Regions from separate parts of the Mus musculus genome. Here regions 1, 2 and 4 are each reported to be linked to region 3. The links are microRNA targets in miRTarBase. Many come from high-throughput screens and were not tested one by one. Region 3 holds a microRNA gene; each other region holds the end of a gene's coding sequence.

Region 1 (7,672 bases), not on the chromosome of region 3:
TTAGTGTAGGAGAGGTTTCTTAGTTCCGAGTACTATATAAATGAAAAATCAATCAATCAATCAATCAATGAAAATACCCATCTCTCTGGAGTAGTAGCTCTTCTTTTTGTTTTCACTCAGCTTCTCCTCTTATGCGTGTAGATGCATTTACATCTTCTACTGGCTTCATGTTACTGCATTCATAATCTTATTATACTAGTTTATTTTCATCTAACAAACGTTATGACATTTTAAATGAAGTGAGTCAGGTATACTTGTGCACACCAGCAGAGCCAGCCCTTGGGAAGCAGAGGCAGGAGGGTGGGGAGTTCAAGGTCACGCTCGCCTACATAACAAGAATGAAGCCAGCCAGTACCACATACCACTTTGTTTCAGAAAACAAAAGAATTTCAATAAAGTGGAAAGATGTGTGCATAAAGACGAAGGCTAGACATCTGTTTGCCACGTGTCTCCAGCACTCATGTGTGCAGAGAACTCTGCTTCACCTTTCCAAGGTTTCATTATTCTCTTGCAAAATGAAGGGAGTCGATGCCGCTGCCAGACAAGGCAGCCATGGGCATTTATCAGGCTATGGTAGTGAAGGTTGACGCTAACAGTAGTTATATTACATAATGTCAAAGATTCAATCATGGTTAGTTAGCTCATAGATACTGTTTCTTTATAAAGATTTTTCTAAAAGTTCCCCAACTAAGTTTAAATTAGGTATAAAAACCTATGAAGTGGGGGACGCAGCGAGATGGCTCAGGGTGGGTAAGGGTGTTTTCTACCAAACCTGATAACTTGAGTTTGATCCTTGAGACACATAGTGGAAGGATGGAACAACCCAGCCTGCACAGGCATGCAAAGGCTCATGTATAGCCCCCTCTCTACCAAAAAAAAAAAAAAAAAAAAAAAAAAAAAAAAAAAAAAAAAGCATCAAAGAAAGTACCCAAGAATGTCTAAACACTAACATAGAAAGTCTCCTTATTATGAGCATGCGGATTCTTCCAGCCCAGAGAGACTTTGAGCATCCTTGGGACGCCAACCAATGTCCTCCCTCTTTTTATGCCTTTTTGGACAGCTGGGCCTTCTTCCCCTGTCTTTTCCTTTCTTAGAGGTGAAATCTCACTGTACTGCCCAGCTGAACTCAAATCATGAGCTTAACTGATTCTGCTACCTCATCCTTTCAGGTAGCTGAGGTAGGTAACAGGTGTGTCTCACCATGCCCAACTCCTTCCCAGGACGGTTTGGATCTATGGTGATGAAGGACCCGTAGCAGATCTAAGGGCATGCTTTGGCTCCATCAAAACTAGAAAGGCTCTAATTTGGATGGTAGTGTCTTCTAAAATTTAAAATACTTCATTTCCGAGAACAGAATGTAACATTTAAGTAGGATCTGCTGGAGTGCAGTGTTAGCACTGAATATTGGTCCCAAACCCCCATCTAAATTTGACACCGTACCTAACCTGTTCTCACTCCTAGAGAGAACATATAGAAAGACACCCTGCTCTGCCTAGTAGTAATTTAGGTGTGACTGAAGAACTCATCAACCCGTGTTGGTCTTTTCATAGCTAATTTCTTTTTTATTCTTCCCATCTCTCAGGTCCAGTTTGTTCTTGTCACTATCCACATAGGCCAGATCTTCTTCATGGAGGACTGCAATTACCAGTACCCAGTTTTTCTGTATATCATCATGAGTTACGGATGCATCTTCCTGCTGCTCTTTCTCCACTTTTGGTACCGTGCTTACACCAAGGGTCAGAGGTTGCCCAAAACTCTAGAAAATGGAAATTGCAAAAGCAAGCGCCACTAAAATACAGACACAACCTGAATTTACAATGGAGACTGATATCTTGCCTTCCTTGACAATCAAGACATACTTGCCTATGCAGTGCATTTTGTATATTTTTCAAAACCAAGAGCTTGTATTTTTATGATAAGTTATTTGGGTTTCTGATCTCTGAGAGTCCAAAGCTCCCAGATAAGTCTTCTCAGTGGAAGAGCCTGGAACAGCCAGGAGGTTTCATGTTGCCTTTCAAACCAATCAGAGGTCTTAATACATCTTGCTACATCAAGAGGAGGGTATGAAGTAATGTAGTGCTCTCCTAGGAACCCCAGAAATGATGACAAATACTAGCTATTTTGAACATGGACAGAGGTCCACAGAGTACGATAGATTCCTCCTGCTTGATGTGGGAACCCCTGATGCTGGGTTCTGTCTGTCACTCATCCCTTATGTTCAGACAACATTACACTCGTTCTAGGGCTCAGTTCTGAAGTGCTAACACAAGTGAAGCCTAAGTGGATTCTTGATAAGCTCTCATTCTAAATTTGTTAATGGTAAGTTTGAATGGTCTTCTGGGTCATTGCCACAAGATCTGCCCATAAGACTTCCTCCCAACTCATGCACAAGCTGTTAGAGGCTGTGATGCTATGGTATCCGCACTGATGCCTTTGAGCCCAAGGTGGAGGTAACTTTATGTTGCAAACAAGATGATTTGTCTCAACGGTTAATGAACGCTTTGCTAATGACGATTCTACAATTAACTTCTGTGCATATCTGAAAAGAGGGATGTGTGAATAAAAAAAAAAAGAATAGACTGTTGGATTCAATGAGGAAAGGTATAATCTGTTGCAGTATAATAACACTCTCTGATATGTCCTGGTTTAAGGGATTGTTTTGCCAAAGTAAGTGTTGGTTAGATATTTAAGTGTTCATGTGATTGGCTTACCTCAGGTGCTTCTGAATCACATATTAATTTTTGAATATCTACTATGCAAACGGCTTATGAAGCAACCAGAGTTGAGTGGTGCCGAGTATCAGAGGCAAGATTTGGTTAACAAATAAACAAGGGGTGTTATGTCCTGAGAGATAAAGACACTGAATTATGATTGTGTGTGTGTGTGTGTGTGTGTGTGTGTGTGTGTGTGTGATTTCCATTTCTTCAGACCTATAAGCCATATTGTGAAGGGCTGAGATTCATGTGGCATTCCCTAACCCCCACCCCCTTTAAAAATGCCACTTTCTAGAATTTCCTTCTTCTTTCCGGTGAACCAGAACAACTTAGCAATACTTGGACGCTTGTGAAGATGTCAATATTATTTCCTTTTCCTCTTCGGAGAACTTTTCAAAATCAGTACACCTTGGTCATGGGCGCCACACAACGTTGCTCATTTTGCAATAAAGCCTGAGTCCTCATTGACCATAAACTATGAGTTTTGCCTGCCCTCTCCTGATCCATTACTCTGTCTCCACATTCATTCAGTTTATAAAGTTATTCGCCATTAAGTGGCCTTTAGTGATTCCACATGCTTACAATGAGAAGCGAGGATGATAGGCTTTTCATATTAAAAAAAAAAAATTTTAAAAAGGCCACAGACAAGCCGAGCTGCAGGGAACGGCTGTGCTAGTCTGTCGCTGTGAAGGTCTCAGGGATCCATGTTTTCCTACTTTGACTCTGTGTGTCCAGCCTGGGTTAAGATGGGATGGGATGGTAGACACTGGCACATACACAAGCAATCCCAAAGACTCAAACAGGGCAAAGACCCAACGGAATTGAAAATAGAGACTAAGACAGGAGGTTTTGATTTATTTCCTCTTCTTGCTCCATACCCTCTCCACCCCTCCTCTAAGTATTTAAAATGTCTGATGTGCCCACAGACTGAGAGCAACATTGTGACATACCACAGTCTTAACTATATGAATGAAGGAGGGAGGTGGAAGTTACATGGAAACAGATTAAGGTTGACAGTCAGTGTCCCCCAGGTAAGTGTTCCTGGAGCAGAGTGAGTGTCACTGGTTGTAGGGTTTGTGTAAGCAGTATTCGGTCAAGTGGAGTTTCTAATGGGGTTTACCTACTTTTCAGGACTTTATTGTCTTTAAATTTGCTTGCCTAATAAGCAAAAAGCCCAGCTATTAAGTATAGTTTATTATAAAAGTTCTGTGGGCCCTTGAGGTCCAATATATATGATATAAATACAAAATTTAAATTATCTGTAGGGTATTATGACTTTCTGTCTACATACTTAATGAGAATTCTAATTTGAGTATATACTGCATTGTTTCATAGTTTGGGAAATTATGAGATTGTATCCCTCGGCTATCTCTTATTTCTGTTTACTTTTTAATGACTGTGGAAGTTTTGAGAAGTTGGACTTGCTCTCTTTGCTATAATAAATCTGTGGCATCATATGGACATGTGTGTGTGTGTGTGTGTGTGTGTGTGTGTGTGTGTGTGCGCGCGTGCGTCTCATTTTGGAATCTAGCTGCTTTGATTTGCCCATGTGAGTGATTCTAAATCTGAATATTCTCTTAGTCAAAGCACTTGGCATACTTGCTGTCATGTGCTTGCTGTCTTCAGAGAGAGTATTGTGCTGGATGAGAGTGGTTCAAAATGCCCACTGGAATTGCCTGTATCTTATCACCCCGCAGATGGATGTTCAAACAGCACAGCATAGGTACAACAGGAGGCCATGTCCTGCCATTCACAAATTCAAAAAACTATTATGAAGGCATTTGAAGGCGAGTATGTATTATGTAAAATGTGTAAAATCCAAAATGGATAGTAGGTTAGTAGACCAGATGTCTGCAAATAACACGGGGCTCAAGAGATGGCTCAGTGGTTAAGAGACCTTATCGTTTTGGCAGAGGACCTGGGTTTGGTTCTTACTTGACAACTCACAACTGTCTGTAACTCTAGTTCCAAAGGATCCAACATTTACTCCTGGCCTCCACAGGCATCAGGCACACCCACTGTGCTCACACAAACACACAAACGAACACTTATAACCTAAATAAATAAGAACTTAAAAAAATAATTTTGTCATGTCTAACTGAAATAACAGTTTCTAGGTACCGATCACCTACGTTTGTTAAAACAACTGATGGCTGAATGCCGGGGAAGTTGGGGATGGTGACTGAGGCTGGTGCAGTCTGAACCCACTGATCTTCTCAATACCGATCAAAGTGAGATGCCCAAGTGCTCTTTTCTTTTTTTAACATGCTATTGGATTATGAAATCTCTTTGCCCCAGTTTGTGTTTTGAATTGAATCTAAATTTCTATTTCTTTTTTTGTTTGTTTGTTTGTTTTGTTTTGTTTTTCGGTTTTTCGAGACAGGGTTTCTCTGTATAGTCCTGGTTGTCTTGGAACTCACTTTGTAGACCAGGCTGGCCTTGAACTCAGAAGTCTGCCTGCCTCTGCCTCCCGAGTGCTGGGATTAAAGGCGTGCGCCACCACACCTGGCTTAAATTTCTGTTTCTAAATCAGTAATGATAATAATAATAATTCTGTTGATATAGGAAGATATTTAAAGAGACAAAGTAGATCAAATCAGCCATATACAAGGTAGTAAATTATAGGAGTTTCATCAGACAAGTGGCCCAATTTATTCACCAAAAGTGACCTTAAAGGGACAAAAAGTCAAAAATGGGAGAGGGGGCTATGAATTCCAGTGGCAGAGAACATGCCCAGCATGGCCTAGCCTCCATCCCCTGCATCACCACAAGGAAACTGAAGTAAAGACATGGAAGAAAGTCTAGTAACTTGAGACCTAAAATTCAACAATCCAGTATTTGGATATAAATTTAAACAAACCAATTATAAGAGGATTTTAAAATAATTACACATGGCATAAATATTAGATGATACTAAGAAACTAATACTGGATATTATCTCTGTACTGCAGCCAGACTTTTGAAAAGTTCTAATCCATGAAGATATACGTGTATGCCCGTGTGTGTTGTGTATAATTGACAGTTGTCTGGCTGTGACCTTTTAATATAATTCTCCATGTTGTGGTGACCCCCAAACATAAAATTATTTTTGTTGTACTTCATAACTGTAATTTTGCTGCTGTTATTAATCTTCATGTAACTATCTGATCTACAGCCCCTGTGAAAGGGGCTGAGACCCACAGATTGAGAAACATCTGCTCTAGGTGAACAGTTTATCCATAAGAAAACAGTCAAATGTAAAGAATGAAGCCTTAAGATCAATAAATATACACGTGTCTGTGCATTAGTTGCTATTGAAAGAAGGCTTGGACTGACAGCATGGCTCAGCAGGTCAAAGGGCTTGCTGCCAAATGTGACAGCCTAAGTTCCATTCCCCAGGACCTCTACATGGTGGAAAGAGAAAACTGACTCCAGAAAGTTGTCCTCTGACCTCCGCACACACACTCCATAGTACACATGTGCAGTCCTCCCAAATAAATAAATAAATGCATTTTTAAAGTTTAAAATTCTCTTGTCACTATTTTCTCTTACATTTAAAACACATTATTCGGAATGAGAAGGAGAATTGGTGACAAATGTTAACTCTAGGTTCTATTGACACTTCTCTCTGCCGTTGTATATATTTGAAAGTTCCCAGCTTTTAGCAAGCATTGTGTATGTTTTACCGTTATGATTTTGATTCCAGGTAGACATCAGAGACATAGTTGATGTGATTACTCACCATTGACACCAGTGTCTGTCTGTCTGTCTGTCCCTCTCTCTCTTTTCTCTCTCTTTCTCTCCTCTCTCATATATACATATATCATGCATCTATATCTATATATAATTTATAGTACATATATAATGTATATCTCTATATACACATATGATTCATATATGTTATATATGCACATTACGTTTGCTTACACATTTCTTTTCAAACATTTTTATATTAAAACAATATATATGTGTGTATATGTATGTATGCATGTATATGTATGTGTATATGATATGTCACAGGGTTTCATATAGCCCAGGCTGTCCTTGAAATCACTATGCAACCAAGGATGACACTTGATCCTCCTGCCTCCATCTCCTGAGCCCTGAGATTACAAACAGGCACCACTGCACCTATTTTATGGCTGCACGTTAGGCCAACATTCTGTCAACAGATCCATATCCCAAGTCTCTGACAAACTTTAAACTGCTCTTATGTAGACCCTGATCTCAAAAGGTTTTTAGAAGGCCTACATAAATAGTAAATAAAACCAAGGCAGGCTACATGTTGCCAAGTTAAAAGTTTGTTGCAAAAATATGAGACCTTTCCCTAAGCTGACATTTTGCTACAACAGTAGTGTTGAGTTGGGCTTGGTGGTGCATATTGGGGGTGGGGGTGGGGCTGATGCAAAAGTATCACAAGTTCCAAGACCGCATAGCAACATTGTGTCAAAAGAGAGGAAAGGGGAGGGAGAGGAAGGGAGAAAGAGAGAAGGAATCTGATCTGAGAAATGACCCTTCAGAGGGATCCTGGGGCTCCCTCCCTGCTGCTGTTTAGCTACTTCCTTCTTTCAGGAAGCAGCCCCGTATAACAGCAAGTGGTTATCATATACTGTTCTACAGCATGGCACTATGTAGGCAAGCACTCAGAAGAGGACGGGCACAGAAAGAGAGAGAGAGTGAGAGTGGTTACAGAGACACAGTTCAGATCAGAGACTGAAGGAACTACCATCCAGAGACTGCCCCACTTGGGGATCCATCCCATAAACAACCACCAAACCCAGACACTATGGCAGATGCCAACAAGAGCTAGCTGAAAGGACCCTGATAAAGCTGTCTCCTGAGGGGCTCTGCCAGTGCCTGACAAATACAGAAGTGGATGCTCACAATCATTCATTGGACAGAGCACAAGGTCTCCAGTGAAGGAGCCAGAGAAAGTACCTAAGGAGCTGAAGGACACTGAAGCCCCATAGGTGGAACAT
Region 2 (7,672 bases), not on the chromosome of region 3:
TTACAAACCTCTGCCCTCTTGTTGGGAAGGACAGAACTGAAGAGATTGGTTGTGTTTTATAAAGGGAGCTTTTATTCACTTTTGCAGAGTTGACCTGCATCTTCTGGTTTTTTTCTTCTCCTTCAGGATTATGACCTGTGCATCACTTGTTATAACACTAAAAATCATGACCACAAAATGGAGAAACTAGGCCTTGGCTTAGATGATGAGAGCAATAACCAGCAAGCTGCAGCTACACAGAGCCCAGGAGACTCCCGCCGCCTGAGCATCCAACGCTGCATCCAGTCTCTGGTGCATGCCTGTCAGTGCCGCAACGCCAACTGCTCCCTGCCTTCCTGCCAGAAGATGAAGAGGGTTGTGCAGCACACCAAAGGCTGCAAACGGAAAACCAATGGTGGGTGCCCCATTTGCAAACAGCTTATTGCCCTCTGCTGCTATCATGCCAAGCACTGCCAGGAGAACAAGTGCCCGGTGCCATTTTGCCTCAACATCAAGCAAAAGCTCCGGCAGCAACAGCTGCAGCACCGGCTCCAACAGGCTCAGATGCTCCGTAGGAGGATGGCCAGCATGCAACGAACTGGTGTGGCGGGGCAGCAGCAGGGCCTGCCGTCCCCAACTCCTGCTACACCAACTACCCCTACTGGCCAACAGCCAGCCACCCCACAGACACCCCAGCCCCAACCCACCTCTCAACCACAGCCCACTCCTCCCAACAACATGACACCCTACTTACCCAGGACTCAGACTACTGGCCCTGTGTCCCAGGGTAAGGCACCAGGCCAGGTGACCCCACCTACCCCACCTCAGACTGCTCAGGCCCCCCTTCCAGGGCCTCCACCTGCAGCAGTAGAAATGGCAATGCAAATTCAGAGGGCAGCAGAGACACAGCGCCAGATGGCCCATGTACAGATTTTCCAAAGGCCAATCCAGCACCAGATGCCCCAGATGTCACCCATGGCCCCTATGGGCATGAACCCACCTCCTATGGCCAGAGGTCCTGGTGGGCATTTGGATCCAGGAATAGGTCCAGCAGGAATGCAGCAACAGCCACCTTGGGCCCAAGGAGGAATGCCTCAGCCCCAGCAGATGCAGTCAGGGATGCCAAGGCCAGCCATGATGTCAGTGGCCCAGCATGGTCAGCCTTTAAACATGGCTCCACAACCAGGATTGGGCCAAGTGGGTGTGAGCCCTCTCAAGCCAGGCACTGTGTCTCAACAAGCCTTACAAAACCTTTTGCGGACTCTCAGGTCTCCCAGTTCTCCCTTACAGCAGCAACAGGTGCTTAGTATCCTTCATGCCAACCCCCAACTGTTGGCTGCATTCATCAAGCAGCGGGCTGCCAAGTATGCCAACCCTAATCCACAGCCTCTCCCTGGACAGCCTGGCATGACCCAGGGACAGCCAGGGCTGCAGCCACCTACCATGCCTGGCCAGCAAGGTGTCCACTCCAACCCAGCCTTGCAGAACATGAATCCTCTGCAGGCAGGTGTCCAGAGAGCTGGCCTGCCCCAGCAGCAGCCGCAGCAGCAGCTCCAGCCACCCATGGGAGCAATGAGTCCCCAAGCTCAGCAAATGAACATGAATCACAATACCATGCCTTCACAGTTCAGAGACATCTTAAGACGGCAGATGATGCAACAGCAGGGAGCAGGGCCAGGAATCGGCCCTGGAATGGCCAACCAGTTCCAGCAGCCCCAAGGAATTGGCTATCCACCGCAGCAGCAGCAGCAGCAGCGAATGCAGCATCACATGCAGCAAATGCAGCAAGGAAATATGGGACAAATGGGTCAGCTTCCCCAGGCTCTGGGGGCTGAGGCAGGAGCCAGTCTACAGGCCTATCAGCAGCGACTTCTTCAACAACAGATGGGGTCTCCTGCTCAGCCCAACCCTATGAGCCCACAGCAGCACATGCTCCCAAATCAGGCACAGTCCCCACACCTACAAGGTCAACAAATCCCTAATTCTCTCTCCAATCAAGTGCGCTCTCCCCAGCCTGTCCCTTCTCCTCGACCACAGTCTCAGCCCCCCCATTCCAGCCCATCTCCGAGGATGCAGCCTCAGCCTTCTCCACACCATGTTTCTCCACAGACCAGTTCCCCACATCCTGGACTGGTAGCTGCCCAGGCTGCCAACCCTATGGAACAAGGGCATTTTGCCAGCCCAGACCAGAATTCAATGCTTTCACAGCTCGCTAGCAATCCTGGCATGGCAAACCTCCACGGGGCAAGTGCCACGGACCTGGGACTGAGCAGCGATAATGCAGACTTGAATTCAAACCTCTCACAGAGTACACTAGACATACACTAGAGACACCTTGTAGTATTTTGGAAGCAAAAGATTATTTTCTCTTAACAAGACTTTTTGTACTGAAAACAATTTTTTTGAATCTTTCTTAGCCTAAAAGACCCATTTTCCTTGGAACATGTAAGAACTGTGCAGTAGCCATTTATGGTTTAAAGTAAACAGGCCAGATGAACCTGAGGGATAATAGATTACAAAGAATATATTTTTGTTATGGCTGGTTACCCCAGCTCTTTTTCCCCTTGTGTGTGTGGTTCAAGTGTGCACTGGGAGGCAACTGAGGTCTGAAGCCAACCATATGCTCCTGCCTTGCCGATAGGTTTTATTATTTTTTTTAAATTAATGAAAATATGTAATATTAATAGTTATTATTTACTGGTGCAGATGGTTGACATTTTTCCCTATTTTCCTCACTTTATGAAAGAATTTAAATAAAAAAAAAGAACATTTCTAAAACCAGAGGACAAAAGGGGTTAATGTTACGTAAAATTACATTATATATATATATATATATAAATATATATAAATATATTAAAATACCAATTTTTTTCTCTGGGTGCAAAGATGTTCATTCTTTTAAAAACATTTAAAAAATAAAATAAAAAGCCTCCTCTTTCCATCCCTCAAGTCAACTTTTGTGCTCCAGAAAATTTTCTATTCTGTAAGTCTAAGGGTAAAACTTCAAGTATTAAGATAATTTGTACATGTAGAGAAAAAAATGACTTTTTCATAATATACAGGGGCAGCTGCCAAATTGATGTATTATAATATTGTGGTTTCTGTTTCTTGAGAAAAATTTTTTGTTATTTTTACATCTAACAGAGGAAAAAAAATTTAAAAAGAGGGTAAGAAATGACTCCAGTGGGGTGATTTTAACATGCAAATGTCTGAGATTTCTTCACTTGCTTTCTTCCTTACTCTGCCCCACACACGTACACTTTCTGTAAAACTTGAAAATAGAAAGCAAAAACCCTCAACTGTTGTAAATCATGCAATTAAGGTTGATTACTTATAAATATGAACTTTGGATCACTGTATAGACTGTTAAATTTGATTTCTTATTACCTATTGTTAAATAAACTGTGTGAGACAGACACCTGAGCTTGGTGTCACTTCTTTGGGGCTCATCTTCTTTCTTAGAGAACACAAGGCTAGGCCTGGAAATGAAGCTGGTGCAGGTTTGCCTGATGTGTATAAGTTAGACCCCAACCAGCCTTGGGAATGCCACAGTGGGCATCTACCTGCAGTCCCAGTCCTTACAAGGTAGAAGCAGGAAGATAAACACTGGGCTGGAGAGATGGCTCAGCCGTTAAGGGCGCTGACTGCTCTTCCAGAGGTCCTGAGTTCACTTCCCAGCAACCACATGGTGGCTCAGCCATCTACAATGAAATCTGACGCCCTCTTCTGGTGTGTCTGAAGACAGCTACAGTGTACTCACATACATAACTAAATCTTAAAAAAAAAAAAAAAAAGCTGGAAGTCATTGTCGACTGTAGCAAACTGGAGGACATGAAGCCCAGGCTTATGAAGACCCAGTTTAGTGGATCTCGGCACAATAGGAAAAGAAAAACCTGCTACTTAGCAAGCCTACTATTTAGAGCAAGAGGAAAAGGGAAATGCATGCAATAGTTTATTACATTTTGATGAGTTTTTCCAAGGTTCAGGTGATAGTCATCTCTACCAGCCAAATGTCAAAGTGTGGTTAGCTACCAGATGAGGAAGCCCCGTGAGAAAACCACTGCAAGTCCAAGCCAGCCTGGGTTACACAGTTGAGACAACCCTGGCCCATGGAAAAAGCTATTTATTAGCCTTTGGTGGTGGCACACATCTTTATTCCTGCACTTAAGAGGCAAAGGCAGACACAGACTTTGAGGCTAACCCAATCCAGTTCCCAAACAACCAGGAGGAACAGAGAGAGACTATTACCTCTTGCCCTAACATTTTCCCACTTTGATTCAGGACGTCCTATACTGTAAAGAATACCCTTTAAAAACTATTACATTTGATTAATAATAAATTGAATTACTGCAACTTGCCAGAGTCAGCTCTTCACTGATACTCAGGCAGGAGGTAAGGATCCACCAGGTCAGCCCTCTGACCCATGGATGACTTGAGAGGTTTTTCTGTTTTAATGCAGGCACTCACCACGTAATCCTGACCTCAGGGATTGCAGGCATTCTGACGCTAATGACTCAAATTAGTTCTTCATACAATTTAAGTCTTGAAATAGAAGAGCATTATTTTGATATGGGTTTGAACACCGGGCAGTGGTGGCACGCACCTTTAATCCCAGCACTTGGGAGACAGAGACAGGAAGATTCCTGAGTTCAAGGCCAGCCTGGTCTACAGAGTGAGTACCAGGACAGCCAGGGCTACACAGAGAAATCCTGTCTCGGGAAAAAAAAAAAAAAAAAAAAAAAAAAACACACACACACACACAAAAGACTTATGTATACCTCTTTGACAGACTGCAAGTCAGTATGTCAATTCAGCTGGTCTTAGACTCAAAACATGCCTGCCTCTGCCTCCAGAGTGCTGGGATTAAGACAGTGTGCCACCGGCCTACCAATCCTTAAAAAAAAAAAAAATGTATATAGGTGTTCTGCCTGAATGTATATATGTGCCTCCACATGTGGGAGCATTAGATGACCTGGAATGGAAGTTATAGAAAGCTGTGGGTCACCATGTGGGTGCTCCTTATGTGACACACCTTTTCCTGGAGAGGGTAAATATTTATCCACTTGTTATGGGGTCTGCTTTGATCCAACTCAAACACCTAGCCAATGCAAATGACAAAAACTTATTGTAATCAAGCTGCTACTGATTGATCAGGGCCTTACCCAAAATAGGGAACCCACATCAGACCAAAATAAAGATATCACCAAAGGTCCAACCTGGTGAACTAAGGAGTTTAGGAGGGGGGATTACTTACAGGAGCAGGAATGACTCAGAGACAGCTGCATCATCAAAGCCCACCAGCATGTGGGTTACACAGCTCACAAAGCTGGGAACCTAAAGCTCTTCCCACTGCCTGCAGGCAGCTCAGCAGGTTGGAGAATATCCTTCTCAGGTGCCTCAGTTGGTCTAAATCTCTCGAAGGCTGCTCTTCTTGTTCTGAGTCTTCTCTGAAGACTTACTCCCTGCTTACTCTGTCAGGGAGGAGCCTAGGGAATCTGCTCAGTTTCAGGGAGTTCCTGAGACTATTCTTGTTGTTGTTTACCTCCCTGCTTAAGGAACTTCCCTTCAAGATGGAATATTTTAATCTTTGAGGAGACTGTTAACACTCCACTCCTTCCATGGGCTTTTACATCCTTTGTGCCCCTTATTCTGCAGTAATCCCTGAGTTTTGGGGTTGGGGTGACTATAGACATGGCTAAGTAATGGGCCACCATGCCACAGTAACAGCCACTTGTTAAGAGCTTTAGAAGTGGTTAGAATTGAGGGAGTAGCTTTATGGCTGGAGATGCCTCAGGGGCTTCCCTGGGCAGCAACTCGGAGGTAGCCCACCCCTGGCACTGGGATTTTCCTTCAGTAACTATATGGCCTCCAGGAGTGTCCTTGTCCACCCATGTAAGGTACTTTTTAGAATTAAACTATTTGGCTGTTGTTTTAGCAACCCATTTTTCTTTTTAATTAACCCAGCCCCAGTAGGATCATAAGATAGATGGAATATACTGGTTGCCTCTCCAATGGCTTACCAAATCTGCAAGCACTGTTTGTGTATGTGTGTGGATGTGTGCACATGTGTACAGGAGGTGGGAAGGACAAGGCAACATCTTGAACCACCATACAACAAAGATAACGGTGAAGCACTCTGAAGGTCTGCTGTCATCTGTTCTCCGCAGTGATGGGTGAGCCCAGAGGATTTCATCCTTTTTTTTTAATCAATTGCTTCCTCCACTAATGAAGGTACAAAGCCTGCATGCATAGATAGGAAGCGCTGATGTAATTAGCTCTCTTGATCCTTAGCCATTCTCTCTGAACTACCAGGCTTCCCTATCCTGGAGCTCTTCCATGAAGCATTCTCCACACCTGATGAACGCTGTGGGCCTTAGTTTGCTCGTACCTATTCAGAGCCAGAGAGCAGAAGACGCAGCTCTCCCAGCATTACCTGGGGCTCCCTGGGTCAGAGCTGCCCTGGGTTGGCTCTGTGGATGTAGCAGTAACTGCTGAGACACCATCTACCATCCCTGGTGGTTGGGGGAGTTCCTGATTGGGCAAACTAATTTCACCCCTAGTATAACCTTTTGCTGGAGGTAAATGTCCCCTCCTTAGTCTGGGGGGATAATGGTCTACTCCTAGGACAGTCTGGATCCTCTTCACCTGTACTGTTCTCTCACAGATGTCTTCTGTTTGCTGTCCCTTGGGGTTCTTTAGCACAGCGCAAACAGGCTTTCTATCACATTGTTTTCCTTTCAACTCCAGCTCAACATAAATTTTGCTCAACATTTGTTTTCAAGTAACCCAGATAGACTTCTCTGGCGTTCCCTCATTACTGTCTCCTCTAGGCGTGTGCCACCACACCCGGCTGGAGCAGCCTTTTCTCTCCTCTGTGAACACAGTTCTGTACAGCCCAGTGAACTGGGGTTCAAACACAGCTTTCCTTGTTCCTAATTTCTTCAATTGTATCTGCTGCTTCTCTGTGGCTCTTCAGCTCCTGATGTTTGTGAGGACTTGAGATGGATATAGGCAAGTGCTCCTAGTGGCTCTGCTAAGCCGGCGCATCAGGACCTGATCTTTCTGACCCTGACGCAGGCCATTCAGCCTTTGCCTTAAGAAGGAACAGGAAGTTACATTATTCCGTTTTCCCGCATCCACACAAGTCACACTGGTCCTATCTCCTCCCAGGTCCTATAGCCTCCCAAGCCAGGCTTGCCACACTCTTGCCTTACATTGGACCATGGTTAGTGCCCACATCTGTGTGCTGCATCAGATTTTCCCTCTTCTTCTACTCAAGGTTGGACTTGAGGGGGACCCATTGCTGCTTTTTTTTTTTAATATCACTTTTATTTAGTATGTACTACATGCACATGATACAGACAGGGAAAAAATTTTAACTCCATGCATAAAGGACAAAACAGACTGGTGCTATGTCAAACATGCACTGAGTCAGTTAGGATGTTGTTCAAAGTTCCTTCAATTTAATGGTGTCCGTGAAATTAAGTGCAGCACAGTGCACACACGTCTGGATAGTGTCTTCACGTAATTTCCTGAGCTGTCTTTGCATTCTGTTTTTCTTTTGCCTTTTCCCCACGTGGAATTAACTGCTGGTGTTCTGCTACAGTCTTTAGTAATTCCGTGATGAAAGGCAGGTAGTTATGGTTCCTTCTGATATTTTCAATCTTCTGTCTCTTTAACTTTCGTGCCTCTT
Region 3 (7,672 bases):
TAACCTGCCTTTTCCTAATGAAGCCATCTTCAGGGTTTCTGAGATTACTGCTATTCATAATTGATGATGCTAATTATTGATATGTTGAGAAAGCCAAAGCTTAAGTAGCCTGCTCAGCTTAACTTCTTGCCATTTTTCTTCTCACTTCCAGTGCCCAATCTTGCCACACACATAGGCACGCTGCTTTCTGACTTCTGCCTCTGAAAGACAGTTTTTCCAAGATATCACAAGGTACTTACCTAGTCCCACACCACAATATCTTCTAGGGAGCTTAGTCACTGAGCAGGAGTTGGAGTTGGCCAGTTACTCCCAAGTCATTCTTATACCCAGAGTTATATGTTCTTGACACACAAGTGTTTCAAGGTATACATCAGAGAAATGGTTCTGTGGTTAAGGACATGGGCTGCTTTTTCAAAGGACCCAGGTTCGGGCTCCAGCATCCACAATGTAGCTCACAAACATCTATAGCTCTTAGTTCCAGAGGCTCTAGTCCCAGGTCCCAGGGTTGTACATGATATGTGTTTAAAAAGTCAATGACCCAATGGCCATGGTGGTACATGCAGGCAGAGGTAGAGGACAGTCTAGTCTAAAAACAACCAGTTAGTGGTGGCACGTGCCTTTCATCCCAGCACTGGCAGAGACAGGCAGATCTGAGACTGAGCTTATCCTAGTCTACAGATGGAGTTCCAGGACAGAGAGGGCTACACAGGAACGCTCTCTGTAACCTCTGTTAGATGACCAAGGCAGAGCCTTGCCATGTATTCTCTTGCCCCGAACTCCACTTACATAGAAGTCTGACTCAGTTACAAAGGCCTCTGGCTTCTTTAGGGCTCAAGATTTCCACCAAAAGACAGTGAGATGGCTCAGCAGGTTAAAGGCACTGACTGCTAGCTAACACATGCCATCTCATACACACTAAACATTTTAAAATTTCACGAAAGGATAGACTGGAATTATACCCCAAAGTCCCATGTACTGATTTGAGATCCCTTTTTAACAGCTTGGGTGGGGGATTGGTCTCTGTGCCTTGTTCTTGCCTTACAGTGATTGCTTCCTTGACAAAAGGAGATTGAACACGTGGAATTTTATAAACCCTTTGGTCTATTTGCTTTTCTGTAACTAATTGGTGGGTTTGCAAGTTAGTACTCAGACCACTGGCAGTCATAGGCAGCCCCCTGTGTCAGCTCCAAGCTGGGGGACAGGATGACCTGTACTTGGTAGCCCTATAAATAAAGGCAAAGGTTCATGTGAGTGGTCTGTAGGCCCTGGCTCTACCAGGAAAAAGGGAGGAGAGGGTTCAAGCAGAGCTCTATTAGGTGGAACACACAGAAGGGCCCATGTCTGAAGTGAAGAGCCCTCCCAAGAATCAGAACAGTTCCGAGTCCCAACAAGTGGAGAGTTACTTCCCACCATGCGGAATGAACTACCACATGCACATCCCTGGGGGCCACCTACACAAGGAACACTTGTTAAACCTGGAGTTCCTAGAGAAAACTATAGACCTATTTGTCTGCCCCTGGTCATTCCTGATGTAGCTATTTGCAAACTACAGTCTTGGGTAGAATTTTAAGTCTCTGGTAAATATGTGGTATTAGGAAAGAGCCTCTAGTGGGACTCAAAACCCTCTGGGGAGAAAAAGAAGCCCCCTCCCCCCGAGGAATCAATGCTCTAACATTTATGTACAGCCCAGGCGGATAAGGTCCAGAGGTAGAAATAACATTTATTGAGAATTAACTATACCAGACAATGAGACAAATAGAAGCCTGTCATCTAACTTATTTTTGAGACGGGGGTCTCACGGAAGTTCTGGTTATCCTTGAACTCACAGAAATCCACTTATCTCTGTCTCCCAAGATCTGGTATTCAGAGCATGCTCTACCATAGCCTAACTCATTTATTTTTGGTGCTGGGATCAAACCCAGGACCTTAGGCATGCTAAGCACAGACCTACTACTGAGCTCTATGCCCAGCACCCCTGTCCCCCCCCCCCCCCATTGTCTAATTTCATGAAAAAGTACTGTCATTAACCTAATAACTGAGTCTTACAATTGAGGAAACAGGCACAGAAAGGCTAAGTACCTTACTCAAAATTGGATGATTCAGACTCAAAAGCCCCATATTCTTGTCTGTTGTCATCATCCCCCCCCCCTTTGAGACACGAATCTCATATTTATCTCATATTTATTGTCTAGGCTCCTGAGCAACTGGGACTGCAGGTATACACTGCAGCTCCTGGTTTTGGTTGGTCTTTCTGCTGTCCAGTAAAAAGCAAGCAAAAACTACCGCTCTCTATAGGCTAAATGCCCAACCTGGGCTTCTGCTTTCTAATGTGTAAAGTTGGGAAAGAAGGCATGGTTTACACTAAATGTTTTCTAGGACAACGAACACTCAAAGCATTATATAGTCAACCTTCTAACCACATCTTCTGATGGGTTCCATCTGCAAAAGGTCCTCTTTTCTTTTTTTCTTTTTTCTTTTTTTTTTTTTTTTTTTTTTTTTTTTTTTTTTTGGTTTTTTTCGAGACGACAGGGCTTCTCTGTATAGCCCTGGCTGTCCTGGAACTCACTTTGTAGACCAGGCTGGCCTCGAACTCAGAAATCTGCCTGTCTCTGCCTCCCGAGTGCTGGGAATAAAGGCGTGCGCCACCACTGTCCGGCTGTCCTCTTTTCAAATTATCCCTGCTATTTGTTTTCTGCATCTTGATTACACTCAGGATTTCTACCCTATCAGACAGAGTCTCTCAACAGCCCTAGCCACAGAGAGTATTTACGTGCAGTCTCTGTGGTTGTACTCCTTTTGGGGGCACGTTTGAAGATCTCAAGTTGGGATGCATTACTTACAGACCAGTTGAGGGAAGACTGCTGGCTGATACCTTCAGACAATGAATTAGGGGCCAGGTGAATTTCACTAGCCTGCCAGCTTCTTGCTGTGTTAAGGACCCTTTTAATGATGGCCCAGGAGAAAGTTGGGGGACAGAGTTATGGCTCTATCAGGAAAGGGATTCTTTGCCCTTTCCCCTCTACCTGCTCACCTAGGGTTTTCTGGAAGAAAGGTGTGATAAAACTTCCTTCTCCTCCCCCTTCAGCTTTCTGCTGGCAAAAGTGACTTCTTCCTTCTCACAGGACTCCTGATCCCATCGGTTCACCACTCATGAGATAAGAATCCTTATCGCAGAACCACCCATTTTCTCGCCACCTTAGGCAGCGATACCTCGACTAGGAAGACAGGAGAGTCTCTGAGGAGGATGTTCAGACACTCCGCGGATCTTGCTTCTGCACCGAGGTAGATGCACAGCAGCCTGAAAGGCCGCCTTTCTGAGCACACCTCTTGCCACCTCCGCAGACACATCGAATGTTGCGTCGCCGCCCCGCCTCCTCTTGCTCTGTATCTGCCCAAACCCAGGCTGGCAGAACTCGGGAGTGGTGGGGAGCGTGGGCGTGCTGCGGGGCGACCATGGCTGTAGACTGTTACCTCCGGTTCCCACAGTAACAATCGAAAGCCACGGTTGCCCTGGAGACGCGGGGGCGGGGCTTGCAGGCTGACGTCAGCACCGCGGGCGGCGGGGGTGGCGCGAGTGTCTGCGGGGCCTGCGCCCACCGCAACCCACAGGGACCTTGAACAGGCGTGCCCGAGGGAGGCGCTTGCACTGCATCAGCACCGCGGACAGCGGCGCAGGGAGGCGTGGAGGGGCCGGGGGTCGGCGGTCCTGGGGCGGGGCCAGGCGTCGGTGGCCGTGACTGGAGACTGTTACTGAAGGCGGCCCGGGCAGTAAGCAGTCTAGAGCCAAGGTGCCGGCGCGCTGCCCGGGCGGGGATATCCCGTCGCCCGCAGTTGAGAGTGCTGCTGCTTCTCAGGCCCCCCCACCTCCTCCCAAGCGCGCGCGGACAGACACGCGACCGTGACGTCAGAGTCCTGTGACGTCAAAGATGTCCCAGCGGGGAGGCATTTCCGGCGGTGGGGAGCGGTGGGGGTAGGGCGGGGCGGCCTGATCGAAGCCCCGCCCCCGCCTGGTCCTGAGAGGACAGCTCCGCTTGCAGAGGCGGGAAGTCCTGAGCTCAGTGGGACAGTCCGATGGGACGGGACGGGACCGGACGGGAAGGGACGGGACAGGGAAGGGGCGTGTGTGGAGCATGCAGGACGGGGGTCCCAAGAAAGCCGCAGGGCCGAGGTGTGCGTCTGTCTGTCGTGGGCGCCCTGGCTCAGTCAGTCGGGGCCATCTAGGCTGAGTCACCGCTCTGCGGACAGGGGAGAAATGAGGGGGCGCGTCTCCTGAGACGCCAGCACCTTCTCCCCACTTTCTTGAAAGGATGGCGCAGGAGCTGCTCAGCCTCGGGAAATGGGGTCGGGGGCTCGGCTCTCCGCTTGATGTTTCTCCATAGTGTCTGCGTCTGCATTTGGGTGCCGGCAGGTGCTGCATAGGGTTGGGTCAGCCGCCGGCCCCTGGTCCACCAAGCTGAAAGGAACCTTCGTCCCTCCCACTCTGCCCCCCATCCTCACTCCGGAGTCCCCCTCCAACCCGCCGCCCCTCCGGTCCCCTCCTCGCCTTCCCATGGCGTCCGCGCATCTGCCCATCTCCGACTGTTGGTGGTCCTTACCTGTCGGGCCGCGTCGCACCAGTGCCGGCTTGCCTCCCGCAGCCCGGCCGGCGCCGCCGCTTTTATAGGCGCGCGTAGTACTCGTGCGGCGGCTCATTCATGCGGCCGCGGCTCCTACACACTGACGCGCTGCCGACGTCAGCAGAGAATTTAGGAAACGGGAAAAGAGGCTATTTATAGTGGCAAGCGGGGAGGGGGGGCGTAGGGGAGGGCGGGACGAAGCGACAGGGAGTTGGAGCGGGAGGAGGGTGCGCACGCGGAAGCAGGGTTGGGTAGGGGAGTACGTAACCCCAGGCTTGGCCTCCAAGGGGTTAACTTTCCGGAACTGCAGGCGACGGGCTGGGGGAGAATAGTGCAGGGAGGGTGAGGCCCCGTTCTGTGTTTATTCACTCTCCCCTTCCGGGGCTTTGCGAGTCCTAGGATCTCAGTTCTTTTCTCCTGGACCGCAGGGGTCCTCCCTTGGCAGCCCCAAACCACACTGCTCATTCCCTAGACCCTACAGTCCTCTGACGCCAGAAGATGCCCCGCGATGGTATCACTCCCATTTGGCCACCGTGGTATCCTCGCTCTCTCCTGGTGTGTGTGTGGGGGGGGGGTGGGGGGTGAGGCAAGAAACTGGACCGGTTTAGGAGGGGAGTAGAGTGCACCTCGGACTTTGACATCTAGGAGCTGGGGAAAGAGGGGTGGAGAAGCCTGGGAGTTTTGGAAGGCTTCTTGACTGGGTCACAGGAGGAAAGGTACCGGTCAGATGGTGGAAACCGCAGAGAAGATCAGGGAGTCTAAGGAGAGTGGTCTGGACTTTAGAAATGAGCAGAAGATCTTCTGTAAGAGTTTGGAAAATCCCTGTACGGAGTATCCACAAAAGGAAGGGCTAGCCTGACAAGTACTGGAGAGCCAACTTGGCAGTGCCCCAGGGGGCACGAGGGGGCCACCTCAGTGGGGTGGAATAGGCATAGGCAGAGCCTGTAAGAGAGAAAATGAGACTAAGGGGGCTCAATAGCTTGGCAGAGGGTGTGTGTAGCTGGGACTCCTTTCTAAAGGAGTCAGAATAGACTAAAGGCAAATACGATATGGAACAGGTCCTCCAAAACAGCCCGATTCTGTCTCCGGGCTCTAAATGGGGTCGTCATGCGTTCACGGAGAGGAGGAAGCTGCACCAGGATGACCAGAGGAGCTCAGGAAGAAGGGGAAAGCAAAGTTAAGAGGAGGGGCATGGTGGTGCGCATCCTTGTACGTGGGAAGTAGACGCCTTTGTGAGTTCGAGGCTAGCCGTAGACTTGAAACTGTGGTGGTGGTGGTGGTGGGGCGTGGAGGAGAGGAGAGGAGAGAAGGGGAGGGGAGGGGAGGGGAGTACACAGTGAAACTTGGGCAAGGTTTATGTGGTTGGCCCCATAGCGATACAACAAGGGCTTGAGTCGGTGGAGAGGGATAGAACAAGAAGGAACTGAAGACCCAGCCGACCTCCTTATGGGTCAACCAGCGGATAAACTCCATTGTGTAAAACACATACAGAGCTTTCTCTCCAGACTCGCACGATCTAACCCCATTAAAAGGAGAAAACATTTAAAACAGAGACATCAGAGACACCCTTGCTTGTGGGAGAACTCAGAGTTGTCAAAACTCATCCCTAAGAGCACTTCTGGGGAGCCTTCTTATCCTCAAACGCTCCGTTACACTTCCGCTTCAGCCCCAAGGCGTATCCCTCGACAGAGATACCAAGGTACCTCTTCACTTCTCCTAGAGCTCAGAAATTGTGGAGTCCACCGTGGGACTGCAGTGTTTGTCTTGTATGGACACTGTACGGAGATACGAAGTAGTAAGTGGATTAGATGGAGGCGGAGCACACTGTCGCGGAAACCTGGTGAGCCTTGAAGACTCTTTGGACCAGAAGCCTAGGCCAGGCATAGAAGTCTCCTGCCAAAGAAACGCAGCCTCTAGGAGGCGCCCAAGACCTTGGTGTCTCACTGGTACAGCTAGAGGCCCGGCCGGCTGCCCCGGGCGAGTGACTCAGCCACTACCTCAAGCGGGGGAGTGGGGGCTCGAAGACAGCGTGGGGTGCGGCGAGCGTAGCCCCCACCCGCCCTGCGCCCCGCGCGGTTGCTAAGCTCTCCAAGGCCTCTGAGAGATGAGATCCCGGGAACCTCATTGGTTACCATAGTAACTCTGAGCCCCAGCCTCTCCGGCTTGGCCACGGAGGATGGCGCAGCCAATAAGAAGCTGTGGGCGGTTTGGGGGGACCCCCCCTATAGCGTGGGCGGGGGTCAGGAGGTGCGGGGAAGAGGCGGAGCGTGGGCCACGGAGGCGCGGTGCTTGCAACGGTGCTTATGCCTCCGCCCCGCTATGCAGGGACATTTCCGGTGAGCACCCAAGAGCTGGTGCACGCTCCCCTCCCTCCTAAAAGAGGAGTCACCAACATGAATGAGCTCTCCCTTGTGTGGCGTGTAGGATCTTTTTTTGAGGGGGTCTCAAGCCGCCCGTTCTCGTGATATCTCTCGAATGGTGTATTGGGGGGGGGCAAACTAAGATCCCTCAAAACTGCTTAGATGGGGGATTGGGGACTTGAGGGGCACGTCGCAAGGGGGCTCTGTCCAGCTATTTCCAATGGAGGGCTCTAGGGTCCTTCTGGAGACCCGCAAGTTCGGGGAGGGCTCTTTGGTAGGACCTCTACCCCGTTTCACGTAGTAGCCTCCGCAGTAGCCCAAGAAGTTGGGACTCCGGGAGGGGGTGGGCGGTCTGTGTAAACATGGCGCGCCCTTGTCACTGCTTGGACAGAGTTTGAGTGTGGACGGTTTATGATGTGCATACTGATAACATGTGTCTGAGGGAGAGTTGGAATGTGTCTCTCTCCACTGAGTCCAAGTGAATAATGGTGTTCAGAAATGTCTAATAAAAGCCGCCCCGCTCCTGCTCCGAACGTATGTACCTTCATCTCACTTAGGATTTCTAAGCTCGCCCTCTCACAGAATACTGTTCGTAGTGTTCCACCCCAACCCCTTTTCTAAGATAGGGTCTCAGGTAGTAGAGGCTGACCTTGAACTCCTGGTCCTCTTGCTTCCAACTCCTGGGTGCTATGCTAG
Region 4 (7,672 bases), not on the chromosome of region 3:
CAGTCCCTTCTATCCTCGATAAAGAATTATCAGCCCGCCATGTCACAAGTGCCATAGTGAAAGAAACGTATAGAAAATGATTTTCTTTCTATATGTGTATGAGGTAAGTGTGGATGAACAAAAGCAGAGATCTCAGAAATGAAACAAGGATTTAAGTAGAGGCCATCTAACAGCAGTCAAAGTACCATGTTAAGATAAGCCAAGTGTCTGGGCAGTGGTGGTGCATGTCTTTAATCCTAGCAACTGGGAGACAGAGGCAGGCGGAGGTCAGCCTGGTCTACAAACTGAGATCCAGGACAGCTAGAGCTACACAGAGAAACCCTGTCTCAAAAGAAAACAAAAACAATCAAACAAACAAACAAAAACACAGAGAGAGACAGATACAGAGACAGACAGACAAAGCCAAACAATCCAGGCAAGGGTGGTCTACGTCTTTAATTCCAGCACTCAGAAAGCAGAGTCAGATCCTTAGGAGTTACAGGCCAGCCTGGTCTACAAAGTAAGTTCCAGGACAGCAAAGACTACACAGAAAACCCTATCTCAAACTGCCCTTCTCTCCCCAACCCCCTCCTCTTGAATAAAATATACATCTTAGAAAAAGAAAAGCCAAGTGGAGATTTTAGTGTAATTGCTATAAAAGTTTGCAAGGAAATTGTAAATAGATTTGTACATGTGTGTACATGAGTGTATTTGTTAGAGAAGGATTGTTACTGGAAGTAGTTATGGCAATATCCAGGAGACTGTTGCATTTCCCCTGTGATAGAAGAGGTTGATTTTAACATATTTAGGAGTAGTTAGGGTTAAGGGTATACCTTAATGGTAAAGTGTTTGCCTGGCATGCACAGGTCCTGGATTCAATCCTCAGGACTGGGGAAAAATTAAAATATATACATATTAATTGAACCTAGGTTTCTTGTATGTATTCTTGGAGGAGTTAAGGGTTGGGAAGTAGATTTATTTTCTAAAGATGCTCAGTGTTTGGGTTTCTTTTCTCTTCTTAGGAACTTCAAGGAGTGTCCACCAGTTTCTGGCTATGTGTGACAGGGATGAAACTCCCCAAGGGGTCAAGTACACAGGAAGGACTTTGAACTACCGAAGTCTACCTCATCGTTCCAGAACTGATGCTTCCTGGGGACCAGGGTCAGAGACCAACCAGCACATTGGGGCCAGAGTCCTAACTATGCCAGCATGCAAGCCTCAGCTAACCTACACTGCCACACTACCAGAAAGACACCAGGGCCTTCAGGTTCCACATGCTCAGTCCTGGGGGAATCTTTTCCACTCACCCTCCCATCCTTCTGCTGTTCACCCAGGGTCCCCACCATCCAGCAATCTTCATGTACCCCTTAGGTCAACTTGGAATTCTGGTCCTGTTCTGGGGTCCCGAACACCTGGTCCACGAAGAATAGACATGCCCCCAGATGATGACTGGAGACAGAGCAGTTACCCCTCCCAGGACAGACACAGGAGCCCAGGAGAGGAAAGAATTATGTTTGCTCTATCAAATGCTGCTGGAAGAGAGCAGAACAGGGTGAGATTTCTACAGCACAGCAGGTGGTAAGGGCCACCCTAACCTGCCCTGGAGCTACACCTTCATCCATAAAACTGTACGGCGGCGCAGTGACACCTTGTTTCCTGCCAGTTATGCCAGTCTCATCTCAACAGACTTGGCCATTTCATTCCAGGCACCATATGCCTGTAATCCCAGTAGTTGGGAGGTAGAGATTGGGGAATCAGCATTTCAAGGCCAGAGACTGGGGTAAAAAGAGACTGTTTGTTGTTGTTGTTGTTTTGTTTTAAAGAACAGAACCACAACAACAAAGAAGACATTGATTTTTTTTTCCCCTAAGGGTGTTTGCTGCTTTGAGAGGGAATATTTGAAATTCCAGCTTTAGAGTTGGGGATGTAGCTCAATTGGTAGCGTGTTTTTGTAACATGCACATCAGCCATGGTTCTATCCTTAGAAGTGTGTGAAACTGACCATGGTGGTGCACAACTGTCATCCTAGCACTTGGGAGACAGAGGGAGGAGGATCAGAAGTTCAGGGTTATCCTTGGCTACATAACAAGTTCTAGACTAGTCTGGACTACTTTAGTTCTGGTTCTTTTGGCCCCATCTCCATCAGAGCCCTCATCTTCTGGTCCTACTATACTCCCAACTTACACTCTTTGTTTATCCACCTGTCCATATTACTTAACATTCTTTCTTCCCTATTTCGTATCAATGGAAAAGGGGTATTTATCCCCATAGTCAGGATTCTGACCACGTCCTTAAGGGAAGCCCAACTGCCCAGGTATTATGGCCTGTCAGCCTTCCTTGTGACTCAGACTTTAGGCCTAGAATGTGGAGCTGCCAATACACTGTTTGCCCTTCTGAACAGATGGAGTTGGGCACACTAACACCCCTCCTGTCCTTAGCAGCAGAGCCATTACTACCACTGCTCACTCACCCTTGTAAACTCTCAAGAGTCAGCTAAAGTATTTTAGGGCAAAGCATACTGGTTTTGTAAAGTATTTTTCATTAATAAATCTATAAGATAGTTGTATTTAATCTCTTGTCTTTTACTTTTGTATGTCCTTGCTCTTTTCTTCTGGGGTCGGGAGGCTTCAACATTTATATGAAATGCCTTTGACCAAGTGAAAATGAATAGCCAAAGAGGAATTTAAAAATACAAACTGACCAGGTGTGGTGGCACACACCTTTAATCCCAGCACTTGGGAGGCAGAGGCAGGTGGATTTCTGAGTTCGAGGCCAGCCTGGTCTACAAAGTGAGTTTCAGGACAGCCAGGGCTACACAGAGAAACCCTGTCTCGAAAAACCGAAAAACCAAAAAACCAAACAAAAAAAACAAACTCACTTATGGAGTCAACATATCTTTAAGAGTCTTTCCCTCTTGTTATGGCTGTTAGCGTGTTAACTATCCCTCCCCTGCCTGGGACACTCAGTGCATTACATTCTCCATTCCTCCCCTTGTCTTCTGGGCATTCAAACCACCTTGACAAACTCACTCCCAGTACAGTACCAGCCTTGGTGCCTTTCCTCTCTGCATTCCAGGTGTGTGATGTGACTCCAATCCTTTGCTCTTCCTATTGCCTTGCTCCCTTTCCTTTCCCCTTAAGAGTCAGAATATCTCTGTGATAATGAGAGCTATCTTCACCCATGACACACTCCCAACAGTCTCTTTCCTTTGAAAAGTATTTTGTAGTGGCTGGAGAGATGATTCAATGGTTAAGAGAACAAGCTGTTCATGTATTGGACCCAGGTTCAGTTTTCAGTACCACATAGTGGTTCACAATATTTGGTAGCTCTAGTTCCAGGGAATATAATCTACTCTTCTGCCCTCTATGGAGACTGAACACATGTGGTGCACAGACATTCATGCAGGTAAAACACATAAACACACAAAAGAAAATAATTTGGAAGGTTCCCTTTGCAAAGAATGTCTATTGGGTTTTCCCTCCTTATTTATTCCAGATCTTGATCTTACTGATGAACACAAAGAAACAACAGATGCTGAGAACGTTGCCCTCCTAATCACTGAGGACAGATTCTGAGAACTTGTGTTACTGAGTAATAAGATACAGAGGGCTTTCTTGTTTCATCCTATTTGGATGCTATAACATAGAGACATGGGCCTTAGTAGATATGTTGGCCCCTGAACCATTCAACACTGCTCGTGTCATACACACAATTCTATCTTTTTGGAAGAAGTGTAATGACTGTGCATATGTATGAGGAGGACACATGAAGGCTAGAGTAAGCTGTACTAGTCAGTTCTCTTTTAATACCTTGTGTGCCCTGTGGTTCCATTACTGGGTTTGGTGGCCTATGCCTTCAGCATCTGAGCATCTTATTAATAACTGTTAAGGACCACCTGTACTTGTTTCTTGACCTCTTGGATGCTGGTCAACTTGGATCTGTTTCTGCAAGTTGCCCAAATTCAAATTCCGAGTATGTACAAAGATAAGGAACTAATTTCCTATTTTCTACCTACTTAGTCTCTGCTTTCCATTTTTTTCTATTTCATTTCTTTATTTACAAGTTTTAGTAGATGTCAGACTAGAAGGAGTCTAATTCCTTCTTTCCATTGTCTCCTTCGGCCATGGGGATTAGTCCTAAGGAACTTAAATCACAGTCCTTGGCTGCAAGCACCTTTATCCATTGAACCATCTCTCTGCCTTCAAATTTATTTGCTCAGTGAATTACGAGAGAGGCAATGGCTTTCCAGGGGAATCTTACAGGTTCTCAGGACACCTCTTGGTGTCATTCCCTACTTCCCTTGATCCATTTTGGTTCTTAAATCGTGGTGCTTAGACTTTTCCAGCTGAATTTATGTGCCTTTGGACTTTTCCAAACTCTCAAAGCAAGAGTTCGAATTCTATGCAACTCTCTAGGGCCCCGTTTTGTTGAGACAGTCTCACTTTGTTGCCCTGAGTGGTTAGACCTAGCTAGACTTGAACTTACAGAGTTCTGCCTTCCCCTGCCTCCTGAGGTCTGGTATTAAAGGGAAAATTTCATTTTAAATGATAATGCCACTCTATAGATTCCCTGATGCTTCTTTCATTTTTCTCTCTGGCCATAGTATTATCACTTAGATTTTGTAGATAAATTGTCATATATTTGTCTAGGCCTGGGAAATTCTGAGATCAAATTACACCTCTTCATTTTCCTGGGCTCCAAAGCGGCCAAAAAACCGTCCTTTTTTCCCCTTGCATTTTATCAACAGCCCCTCAGTTTAATCTGCAACCTCTCTTTACTGGTTTGTCTTTCTGCATGTACGGAATTTTCACCTGATCCCTTGGACTGTTTCCGTTTCTGTAGTAGCCTCGGTAATTTTGCTCAAGTCCCTGGAGCTTGTCCCGCCCCCGCCCCTGCACGCGCGATGCATGACGGTCTTAGCCCCTCTGAAGGGAAAGAGGGTCCGCCATGTTCCCCGGCGGCGCCGCCGCTTGGCTCTGGTAGCCGCCGCCCCCGCCCCCAACCCCGCCCGTCCCGGCACCTAGCCGAGCCCCGGGCCCAGCATGGCCGCCCCGGAGCCGGCCCGGGCCGCGCCGCCCCCGCCCCCGCCCCCACCGCCCCCTCTCGGGGCCGACCGCGTCGTCAAAGGTGAGAGGTACCCGAAGCCTGGGGGCCTGGCGTGAGGCGCGGTGTGAGGGCGGGCGGGAGTCCGTCCCCTCAGGAGCGGGCCTGGCGGGGCGGGCGAGTGACTGGCTGCCTCCCTTGGGGAGTGGCCCCTGGGCGGGTCCCCGCTGGGCCGGGCCGAGGCGTAGGCTGCTCCTCGGTCTCCCGCTCGCCCTGCAGGCCCGGGCGGGCGTCGTGCGCGGGCTGTCGCTAACGCGGGCTCAGGGCCGTCCGCCGCAGTGAGCCCCTTTCTTTCCTGCTTTGCCTGTGGTCGGCGCGGCGCCCGCGTTAAGAGCTTCCGGCTCCTCGACAGCTGCACTCCCGGCTTGCCCGGGCGCACCGAGGGGCCCCGGAACCCCTTAGCCGCACGCCGTTGGACTCGCCCGCGTTCTGGCCCACGCCTGCTCCCGGGTGACAACGCCTAGCTAGCGCCAGCCGCAGGGGGTTTGCGCTCGGCCCTCAGATGCCACCCCGCGCGGAAATCGGGAAAACCGTATGGGACTGGACCAGGATGAAGGATCCCGGGGTGACCTAGGAACCCAGACGTAGCTGCGGGGCAGGGGAAAAAGCCATCTTACAAAGAGGAGGCAAAAAAGTCCCATGTATAGGAAGTGGTACACTTAACAGAAAGGGTTTTACAAGCCGCCTCTAAACACACGACTTACTCTTTAGAAGGAAAAGTGAAATTCTTCTGAGCCAGGGAGGACGTGTGTGTACAGATAAACAGATTTATTTAAATTAAATTGAGAGGCAGTTGAAAGTTCCTTAAAAGTCCAGGCTCTCAGAGAGAGCCCATCTACCACACTAATACTATGGATTAAGAATATTAAGAACTGAAATTATTTTTCTTTATTTTGCAGTCAATAAGCAGAAATCGTAAAATGAAGATTTCGTCATTTAGATTATGCTCATTTTTAAAGTTATTTTAATTTTCAAATTCAGTGTCTCAAGTATAGACTGGCACAGTGTTTAAATACTGCTAGCTTTGCTTTGAATTGTGACCATGGTTTGCCATTAAAATATTTTAAAACAAACCCTTTTCTCGTGTGTGTGTGTGTGTGTGTATGTATGTATGTATGTATGTGTGCTGGTTTTTCGAGATAGGGCTTTTTTGCGTAGTCTTAGCCAGGAACTTGGAAAGTAGGCTGGTCTGGAACTCAGAGATATGCCTGCCTCTGCTTCTTAAGAGCCCAATCAAAGGTGTACGCCACCACTGCCCACCTGTGTTTTTTCTGTTTTCAATCTGCACTTTAGGTTCTTAAAGCATGACATATGTGGTTGGGTTAAGCATTAGAATGAACTAAATAGGACTGGAGTAAGAGCGGGTAAGAGCACTGACTGCTCTTCCAGAAGTCTGAGTTCAGTTCCTAGCAGCCACATGGTAGCTCACAACCATCTGTCATGGGATCTGATGCCTCTTCTGGTGTGTCTGGAGACAGTGACAGTGTACTCATATACATTAAATAAATTTTAAAAAAAGAATGAATAGGTTTTTTTCTCAAAGATTTATTTTATTATTATAAATAAGTAGACTGTTGCTGACTTCAGACGTACCAGAAGAGGGTGTCAGATCTCATTTCAGATGGTTGTGAGCCACCATGTGTTTGCTGGGATTTGAACTCAGGACCTCTGGAAGATCAGTCAGTGCTCTTACTCGCTGAGCTATCTCACCAGCCCCTAGAATGAATAGTTTATGAGCTTCTTTTTCTGGGATTTTTTTTTTTCTTGAAGGATAGAAGATCAGGCATTGATCCTATTAATTTCTGTAATTGTATAGGTGGGGGTTGAAACAGGCCATTGCCTGCTTCTTCATTTTCTTAACTATATTTCCTGTGTGCTTATTTTTCTGGATACTTTTCACCAGAATAATAGCTGACGTAACTAGTCACATTCCCAAATCATGTATTTATGTTGTCCTTTTGTGAATCTTGTTCCTTGTCATTTATGTAGCAATCTTTTTCTCATACTGCTTTAATGAAGGAAAAACGAGTTGCAAGCAGAAGGCAGATTCTTTAGGGGTGAGTTGTGAGTCTAATACATAGCCATTTACAGTTTATTGTTTTGAAATGAAAACCATTTTCTTAGTAGGAAAGGAGCTTGTTTGGGAAATTTCAGTTATAAACGTATGGTTAATGCATGTTGTGTATTAGTTGTATCTTCTTCATGGTGACAACTTTCATTTCTATGTGGAATGTATTAGAATTCCTGATACTGTGGTCACATGCCTTTAATCCCACCACACTGGAGGCAGAGGCAGGAAGTTGCTGTTAATTTTGAGGCCAGTCTGGTCTACATAGCAAGTTTCAGGCTAGCCGGAGCTACATAATGCACCCTGTCTTAAAAGATAAATAAGTAAAACAACAACAGCATGTAAGTAAAGCTCAGGTTTTGTAAGTCCAGGACACTTCCCTAGCTTTGCATAGACTCAACATCATCAGATTATGAGGAAACTGCCATTAGAATTGAGTACAAGTAGTCTTTTCCTCTTTGGAACTTTTCCTTTTTTGTCTTTAAATTTTAGACTCAACGCTTCTATTTTAAAGACCTTTAT

The links. The annotated mature microRNA mmu-miR-132-3p reads UAACAGUCUACAGCCAUGGUCG and lies in region 3 at 3,449-3,470, opposite strand. An mRNA with a match to its seed (bases 2 to 7 or 8) in the 3' UTR can be bound and repressed. Matches are read on the target gene's strand: a 7mer-m8 pairs with bases 2 to 8, a 7mer-A1 pairs with bases 2 to 7 and ends in A, and an 8mer does both.
Region 1: the mRNA of Elovl7 is a reported target of mmu-miR-132-3p. Seed matches in the 3' UTR shown: 7mer-m8 at 2,578-2,584.
Region 2: the mRNA of Ep300 is a reported target of mmu-miR-132-3p. Seed matches in the 3' UTR shown: 8mer at 3,341-3,348.
Region 4: the mRNA of Usp54 is a reported target of mmu-miR-132-3p. Seed matches in the 3' UTR shown: 7mer-m8 at 1,769-1,775.

The regions. Positions count from the first base shown.
Region 1 is chr13:108,280,890-108,288,561 of GRCm38, forward strand. It overlaps Elovl7 (ELOVL family member 7, elongation of long chain fatty acids (yeast)), which reads left to right. Exons shown (of 8, transcript NM_029001.5): 8 at 1,583-6,220. The coding sequence ends at 1,792. Among named protein-coding and RNA genes, the nearest start is that of Depdc1b, 32 kb to the right of the region's middle.
Region 2 is chr15:81,648,676-81,656,347 of GRCm38, forward strand. It overlaps Ep300 (E1A binding protein p300), which reads left to right. Exons shown (of 31, transcript NM_177821.6): 31 at 127-3,402. The coding sequence ends at 2,307. Among named protein-coding and RNA genes, the nearest start is that of L3mbtl2, 11 kb to the right of the region's middle.
Region 3 is chr11:75,169,521-75,177,192 of GRCm38, reverse strand. It overlaps Mir132 (microRNA 132), which reads right to left and starts at 3,511; the gene lies at 3,446-3,511. Ovca2 (candidate tumor suppressor in ovarian cancer 2) reads left to right here. Exons shown (of 2, transcript NM_027136.3): 2 at 1-1,250. It overlaps Mir212 (microRNA 212), which reads right to left and starts at 3,805; the gene lies at 3,715-3,805. It overlaps Hic1 (hypermethylated in cancer 1), which reads left to right and starts at 6,938. Exons shown (of 2, transcript NM_010430.2): 1 at 6,938-7,672.
Region 4 is chr14:20,543,790-20,551,461 of GRCm38, reverse strand. It overlaps Usp54 (ubiquitin specific peptidase 54), which reads left to right. Exons shown (of 21, transcript NM_030180.2): 21 at 1,002-2,550. The coding sequence ends at 1,561. It overlaps Ppp3cb (protein phosphatase 3, catalytic subunit, beta isoform), which reads left to right and starts at 4,889. Exons shown (of 14, transcript NM_008914.3): 1 at 4,889-5,106. The coding sequence starts at 5,022. 1810062O18Rik (RIKEN cDNA 1810062O18 gene) reads right to left here and starts at 5,169. Exons shown (of 6, transcript NR_033571.1): 1 at 5,118-5,169.